2 linked regions of the Callithrix jacchus genome follow. The protein of the gene in region 1 binds, or shares a complex with, the protein of each later gene. Links are inferred from orthologs where the notes say so. Each region holds a gene or a part of one and is shown on either strand. Other genes may lie near its edges.

Region 1 (3,641 bases):
TACTAAAAGATGGCCTGATTCTTGCTCCCATCCTAGGATGAGGCAGACTTCCGGGACAAGCTGAGCCCCATTGTGCTCAGCCTCAACGTGTCCCTGCCCTCCAAGGAGGCTGGAATAGCCCCTGCTGTCATGCTGCATGGAGACACCCACGTGCAGGAGCAGGTAGGGACAGGGACAGGCAGGGACAGGCAAGAGAGGTGCAGGACCCCTGACAGCAAGTCAGGATTAGGGTTAGTGCCATGTCATACTGTGAACCCCAAAACCTCAATGTCATTCCAAATCCTAATGAAAACCTCAAAATCTGGCCAGTCACAGTGGCTCACACCTCTAATCCCAGCACTTAAGGAGGCCGAGGAAGGCAGATCACCTGAGGTCAGAAGTTCAAGACCAGCCTGCCCAACATGGTGAAATCCCATCTCTACTAAAAATAAAAAAATTAGCCACGTGTGATGACACATGCCCATAATTCCAGCTACTTGGGAGGCTGAGGCAGGATAGTCACTTGAACCTGGGAGGCTTGCAGTGAGCAGAGATTGTGCCACTGCATTCCAGCCTAGGTGTCAGAGTGAGACTGTCTCAAAAAAAAAAAAAAAAACCCTCAAAATCCCAGTATCTCCTAAGCTCTGATGTAAATTGATAAACGCCAAAATTATCCCAAACCTCCAAATAAACCCCAGAGCCCTGATACCATCTCCAAACTCCCTTTTCGGCCTCAGATCTTCTTACTCCGTAAGCCCCTATGTGAACCCCCAAGCTCACTGTTTTCCTAACCCTGATGTAATCCCCAAACCTCACATGTCCCCAGCTTACTCACACACCCCAATGTGCCCCTCTAGACGAGAATCATCCTGGACTGCGGGGAAGATGACGTGTGTGTGCCCCAGCTTCAGCTCACTGCCAACATGTGAGGAGGCCTCCCACTCTGCCCAACCCTGGCCCTTTCTGCCCGTCATACCCACTCCCCACCTGAGTCGCCCTCTCCTCCCAGGCCCTGGGCCTGGACCCAGGGTCCCTGGCTTCATTCCTCTTTCCCCACAGGACCGGCTCCCCACTCCTAGTTGGAGCAGATAACGTCCTGGAGCTGCAGATGGACGCAGCCAACAAGGGCGAGGGGGCCTATGAAGCAGAGCTCACTGTGCACCTGCCCCAGGGGGCCCACTACATGCGGGCCCTCAGCAACGTCGAGGTGAGGCCCCCACCCTGGAGCAGTACCTGGGACCTGGGGGAGTGCTGCAGCCTCGGCTCTCTCATCTCCCTCCCTGAGAGTCCCTCTTCTCTCTTGCTTTGCTGTCAAAGATCTAATGTATTATTTTTTTAATTTGGAAAAGGAATCCTTGCTAATGGCACAGAATTCCAGAACTCTACTATAAAAACCAGAAAAACAAAAAAGGCTTAGGAACCAAATGTTAACAGGAACCTCTGTTCACCTGTGGTGGATTTCCTTCCAGTCTTTTTCTCAATATTGACCGGCACTCACATAAGTATATATTTATTTTTTATGTTTGTTAATGAAGTTTATAATAATGGGGACATACTCTAATGTTTTGTGTTTTTTATTTTCAAAATGAAAATTCATGAAAAGTAATAGTGCTACAGCAATGCATACACTAGCATGTGACAGTCCCCTGAGATCTCACCCCAAGAAACCTGCCTCCCTGCCTTGGCACACAAATCTCTCCAGACCTTCCAAGGGAGCTTAAATATATATATGATGCTCTGTAACCAACTTCTTTCTTGGGACTGCCTTCCTGAAGGGCTTTGAGAGACTCATCTGTAATCAGAAGAAGGAGAATGAGACCAGCGTGGTACTGTGTGAGCTGGGCAACCCCATGAAGAAGAACGCTCAGGTGAGGCTGCTGGGTCATGGTGCCAAGTCTCCACTGGGGACTCATGAACAACCAGATTTTAGGGGTGAGGTTTTAGAGCCATAGTTCTGGGCCAGAACCTTGGTCCTCACACCCCCTTGCCACATGTCCTTGGGTGAATGACTTTCCCTCTCTGAGCCCCTTTACCCAGTGGGCTTCCGAGTAAAATAGAAATAATAATGGTGACCTGCTGGGTGCAGTGGCTCATTCCTGTAATCCCAGCACTTTGGGAGGTCAAGGTGGGCGGATCACCTGAGGTTGGGAGTTCGAGACCAGCCTGGCCAATATAGTGAAACCCCCCCATCTCTACTAAAAATACAAAAATTAACTGGTTGTGGTGGGAGGCGCCTGTAATTCCAGCTACTTGGGAGGCTGAGGCAAGATAATCGCTTGAACCTGGGAGGTGGAGGTTGCAGTGAGCCAAGATCATGCCACTGCACTTCAGTCTAGGCGACAGTGTGAGACCTGCACTCCAGTCTAGGCGACAGTGTGAGACTCCATCTTGAAAAAAAAAAGAAAAAGAAAAAAATACTCATGGTGATGTTGGAGGGTGAGGACTGGAGTCCATGTTCAGGGCAGGGCTCCCTGAAGTGGGCATTTGGTCATCGATCTTGGCTCTCCTTGTCTCCCAGATAGGAATCGCGATGTTATTGAGTGTGGGGAATCTGGAAGAGGCTGTAGAGTCTGTGTCCTTCCAGCTGCAGATCCGGAGGTACTGACCTGGCAAGCACGCCTACCCACCTCCTTCCCCTGTCTGACCCCAAGCAGAGCCCCTCAGGTCCCTTCCATACAGAAGGGTCTTTCGAGGATGGGTACATTGACTCACACCTGTAATCCCAGCACTTTGAGAGGCCGAGGCAGGCGGATCACTGGCGAACAGGAGTTGGAGACCAACCTGGCCAACATGGTGGAACCCCATCTCTACTAAAAATACAAAAATTAAGGGGCCGGGCGCTGTGGCTCAAGCCTGTAATCCCAGCACTTTGGGAGGCCGAGGTGGGTGGATCACGAGGTCAAGAGATCGAGACCATCCTGGTCAACATGGTGAAACCCCGTCTCTACTAAAAATACAAAAATTAGCTGGGCATGGTGGCATGTGCCTGTAATCCCAGCTACTCAGGAGGCTGAGGCAGAAGAATTGCCTGAACCCAGGAGGTGGAGGTTGCGGTGAGTGAAGATCACGCCATTGCACTCCAGCCTGGGTAACAAGAGCGAAACTCCGTCTCAAAAAAAAAAAAAAAATATATATATATATATATATATATATATACACAAAAATTAGCATGGCGTGGTGGTGTGTGCCTACAATCCCAGCTACTCAGGAAGCTGAGGCAGGAGAATCACTTGAACCGAACCCAGGAGGTGGAGGTTGTGGTGAGCCGAGACTGGGCTACTGCACTCCAGCCTGGGTGACAGAGTGAGACTCCATCTCAAAAAAAGGGTCTTTTGAGAAAGCCCGGTTCCCTTTCTTCCTCAGAGACTGTGTCTGAGTCTTAGAGCCCTACAGGAAGTTCTTTCTCAAGTCTCACTCAGTGTGGCATGCTGTTTGTATAATTAGTTCTCTCGGAACTCTAAAATTCTGGCCTCATCCCCAGAGAGTCACTGGGCTGGTGTCCATGGCCCGGTTTCTCCTCATCCCCTCCCCTCTAGCAAGAACAGCCAGAATCCAAACAGCAAGATGGTGCTGCTGGAGGTGCCAGTCTGGGCAGAGGCCCAAGTGGAGCTTCGAGGGTGAGAGGCCAGGGGTGGAGAAGGGAGGTGGCAGAAGGGCTCTAA
Region 2 (4,170 bases), about 16 Mb from region 1:
CCACATGGGGAATAGGCAGTTTCCCTAAACAGAGTCATTTCCCTGCTCCCACCTTCATTTCTACTAGTGGCCTGAGCTCCACTCTGCTACTCTGGGACAACCTTTCTGTGCCATTCCCATACCCACTCCCACCAACTGCTTGCTTCCCCCCAGGGATCTGATGACCCTGCCACCAAAACTGGGATGGCAGTTATAAATATGGTAGAAACTGCTTTGCAGGGCTGGGGCCAGGGTAGTACTCTGGAAGTCTGACTTTAGAGCCTCTGCCCTTAAAAACTACCCTCTGCAGCTTCTCAGAGAGAGTGTGGGGCTTGCTCAGCACAACCCATCACCACTTCTGGAATTGCCCCAAACACAAGATTAATCTGTGAACCATCTCCTAAGGATTTTAATTATTATTTTTAGTAGAGATTAGGTCTCACTATGTTGCCCAGGGTGGTTTCAAACTCCTGGGCTCAAGCAATCCTCCTACCTCCACCTCCCAAAGTGCTGGGATTACAGGCATGAACCACTGTGCCTGACCAGATATCTTTTTTTTTTTTTTTAAATATGGAACGCTTCACGAATTTGCGTGTCATCCTTGCACAGGGGCCATGCTAATCTTCTCTGTATCGTTCCAATTTTAGTATATGTGCTGCCTAAGCGAGCACCTGACCAGATATCTTAAAGGATCTTTTAATGCAAACTTAGGTGTGACAATGCAGTAGAATCCAATACACTCAAAAGTGAATTTAGAACACTGTGAAAGTAAGAAATGCTTAATGACAGCAAAAATTGTTGTAACTGCATGGAAGCAGGCATCTCTGTAAGAGACAGCTGAGCGGCCCTGGTGTATTTCTCCATTCCCTGCATCAACAGCCAGAAGCATCTGAAACAAGGTTCCATATGTCCCAGGGCAGAATGCTGGAGATTCCTATTTCCGCGTCACAGTCAGCAGCCTGTTCACTGCAGGCTAACCCTACCAGCTGATCTGTTTTAGTCTCTATCACATGAAAAGTTCAACAATAACCACTGCAATATTCCCCTATACAACAACTGTAATCCCTCCTTCAAGATACCCTGGCCCTGTCCAGGATAAGATATACGTCTATACACAGAAGAGTCTTGAAGAGAATCACTATTTCGAATCGTTTATCTTTGAAGTGAACTTATCAACAAATCTTCCCTTTTTAAAAGAAATCCTGGCCAGGTGCGGTGGCTCACTCCTGTATTCCCAGGACTTTGAGAGGCCGAGGTGGGTGGATCACTTGAGGCCAGGAGTTCAAGACCAACCTGGCCAACATGGTGAAACACCGTCTCTACTAAAACTACAAAAGTTAGCCAGGCGAGGTGGCAGGCGCCTGTAATCCCAGCTACTCGAAGGAAGCTGAGGCAGTATAATTGCTCAAACCCAGGAGGCAGAAGTTGCAGTGAGCAGAGAACGCATCACTGCACTAAGCCTGGAAGACACAGTAAGACTCTGTCTCAAAAAAATATAAAACAAAATAATCCCTTCTTCAGGGTCTAGATGGTTTTATGGGTACTACAGTTTTTATTAAAAATGCTTACGGCCGGGCGCGGTGGCTCAAGCCTGTAATCCCAGCACTTTGGGAGGCCGAGGCGGGTGGATCACGAGGTCAACAGATCGAGACCATCCTGGTCAACATGGTGAAACCCCGTCTCTACTAAAATTACAAAAAATTAGCTGGGCATGGTGGTGCGTGCCTGTAATCCCAGCTGCTCGGGAGGCTGAGGCAGGAGAATTGCCTGAACCCAGGAGGCGGAGGTTGCGGTGAGCCGAGATCGCGCCATTGCACTCCAGCCTGGGTAACAAGAGCAAAACTCCGTCTCAAAAAAAAAAAAAAAAAAAAATGCTTACATGAACTCTGTGTCATCCTCTGAGGCAGAGGCAGCCCCAGCGGACCAGGAGCCAGGGTTTCTCCCCACCCCAGGCAAAATCACCAAGGGCTCCGAGAGGACCACGAGCAGCACCCCGGGCTGTGCCGGCTCCATTCCTCCACCCCAGCACCAACGCGGCCGAAAGCTGACTGCCCTGACGGCTGACCGTGTGCGCAGCAGCCAGAGACGAGGCCAGATATCCCACCGGCTCAAGGGAGTCTTTTCGTGGCTCCCCGAATACACTAGAGATTTTTTCGGGTGCAGGGTCTGCCCCGGGAGCAGAGGCACCCGGGAAAACTGGAGGAGGCAAAGCCCTCTTCCTGCTCCAAAACAATCTCACAGGAAGCCAAGTTGAAGAAAAAAAAAAAGAAAGGAAAAAGAAAAAACCTTCTGGAGAAATCGTAACACCAGGAGAAACTGGAAATGTGGGGAAACTGGCAAACGCGCGCGCGCGCGCACGCTCTCACCCAAAAAGCCACAGCGGCATCCCCCTGCCAAGGCACGGGAACAACCCCCGGAAGCCCCACCTTGCCTTGGCTCCCGGGCCAGTCGTTCTTGGCCCGGCCGGGACCACCCGCGAGGCGCTCAGCCCGGGCTGATCGCGGGGCTCAAAGATGCTCTGACCGCACCGTGCGCGCCGAGGCGGCGGGGAAGGCACTGAGCCTGGCTGAGGGCTTCGGCGTCCCGGAGGACCCGCCCCTAGGCACTAGACACCTTTCAGCCCCGCCACTGCCTGGCCTGGAAGGTCCACGGCTCCCGGCTCCGGCCCCAGCCGGGACCCGCACATTCTGAGCGCAGACGCGCAGGACCAGTTCTCCGGGTTTCCCAGCTCCAAGTCCGCAAGTTAACCGCGGCGCGGATCCTGGAGGAGCTGCTCCCCGCAGAGCCAGAGCCTCACTCACCTCCGACACCGACGGCCGCCAGCGCCCCCAGCGCCAGCACAGTCGCCCAGAGTGGCCGGGATCGCGGCCGCGCTCGCATCTCGTCCGCCTCCCGCCGCGCTCCGCCCGCCCCACAGTGGGCGCCGCCGCCCGCGGCCGCTTTTCCCGCAGCCGGAGGGGAGGGGACGCCGTGGGTGGGACGCAACGGGGCGGGTCGCGGATTCGCGCTTCCTCCCCTAGGACTTCTCTGGACCCTGCCCCTGACAGGGAGCAGTGGGAAACTGCGGCTCCTCTTCTCCCCCCGCCCGCCGGCTCCCGCCTCCCTCGCCTTGCCCACGGGGAGCCGCCTGCCAGCCGGCGAGGCGCCCAGGCCTCGAGGAGGTCGTGAGCGCATCCTAGTCCCGGGGATCTGCGACTGGGCACTTGGTGTGCTCAAAAAAGCCAGGAGCCTGTGGCCCCTCTCTTTACCCTTCCAGTCTCACCTCCTGGGAGACGCCCCCGGGCTCTGTTTCACCTAGATTCTTGGGACATATTCACCCACTACCTCGAGTTTCATTCATTCCCACTGTAATTCATTTGATTGACAAACATCTGTTGAATGCCTTCTCTGAACTGGTTCAGTCCATTATTATTCACTAATTTTTTTCTTACCTTAGTTTGGTTTTCCGTTTAACTTTAAGCCTGTTGAGGACAAAACCACATCCCAAGCTTGTGTAAGCAGTGATAGGTCAACGAAGAGCCTCTCCCTACAAGCACTTGCTTGCACCCAGCCAGTGTCGAAAACGTTTCAGAACAGTCAGCATATTACCTCCAAATTCACACTCACAGGCTTTGGGGCTTTATCTATTTCCCTCAAAGGCCTCCTGCCTGACTCCTCCAACCTGTGGCCCCTTAACTCCTACCCTAGTCTTTCTTTAGGCCCCTGGATCTTCCCCAGACTTAAAACATCTGGAAGCTCAGAGAGGCAAAATACTATGGCTATGAGCAAGAGGCCACCAGGAAGTAGCTGGGGCAGTGCAGCCCATCTCAATGGGTAGCTCTGATGGTGATAAAAACAAGGCCTGAGGCATCACTTCCCCTGTAGGGCTTTCAGAGCGGCCCTGGGCTTCCCTATGACCTCTTAGCATGCCCACCCTCTTCTGAGACACACAAGATGCTGGACAACTGACCCTGAACCGTCCCTCCAGCCTATCTCCCACCCTAGTCCAAGAAGATACTTGTCATTCCCAAATGCTCCATGCCTTCCTATCTGACTGATTTTCCTTCCTTTTTCCACTTGGAAAATTCCACTTGTTTTTCAAAACATCTCAGATGCCATCTTTTCCGTGTAATTTTTTCTGACAAACCCCCACGTCCAGCCCCACCCTTTCAAACACTAGGGTACACCTTTATAGTAACACACATCAGCAGA

The links.
Region 2: the proteins of ITGA2B (region 1) and ITGB3 are in contact, whole or in part, in a cryo-EM structure (PDB 8GCE), measured with the Homo sapiens proteins. The link is inferred for Callithrix jacchus from reciprocal best matches to the Homo sapiens genes ITGA2B and ITGB3. Residues at the interface, in NP_000410.2 of Homo sapiens: Gln49, Phe52, Arg72, Trp141, His143, Asn145, Glu152, Ala153, Glu154, Lys155, Pro157, Arg184, Phe191, Tyr197, Glu199, Phe202, Pro217, Tyr221, Phe222, Phe262, Asp263, Tyr265, Tyr268, Thr290, Trp293, Thr294, Gln315, Met316, Ala317, Tyr319; in NP_000203.2 of Homo sapiens: Ser188, Pro189, Tyr190, Tyr192, Ile193, Ser194, Pro195, Pro196, Tyr204, Asp205, Met206, Arg242, Asp243, Pro245, Lys279, His281, Ile282, Ala283, Leu284, Asp285, Arg287, Leu288, Ala289, Gly290, Val292, Gln293, Pro294, Asn295, Asp314, Tyr315.

What each region holds. Positions count from the first base shown.
Region 1 is NC_133506.1:71,216,430-71,220,070, reverse strand, and holds part of ITGA2B (integrin alpha-IIb), read left to right. Parts: intron 1-36; coding exon 37-162; intron 163-836; coding exon 837-904; intron 905-1,038; coding exon 1,039-1,186; intron 1,187-1,754; coding exon 1,755-1,847; intron 1,848-2,497; coding exon 2,498-2,577; intron 2,578-3,515; coding exon 3,516-3,596; intron 3,597-3,641. UniProt on the Homo sapiens protein: Integrin alpha-IIb/beta-3 is a receptor for fibronectin, fibrinogen, plasminogen, prothrombin, thrombospondin and vitronectin. It recognizes the sequence R-G-D in a wide array of ligands.
Region 2 is NC_133506.1:87,132,293-87,136,462, reverse strand, and holds the start of ITGB3 (integrin beta-3), read right to left. Parts: upstream 2,895-4,170; 5' UTR 2,860-2,894; coding exon 2,781-2,859; intron 651-2,780; exon of another isoform or gene 544-650; intron 1-543. UniProt on the Homo sapiens protein: Integrin alpha-V/beta-3 (ITGAV:ITGB3) is a receptor for cytotactin, fibronectin, laminin, matrix metalloproteinase-2, osteopontin, osteomodulin, prothrombin, thrombospondin, vitronectin and von Willebrand factor.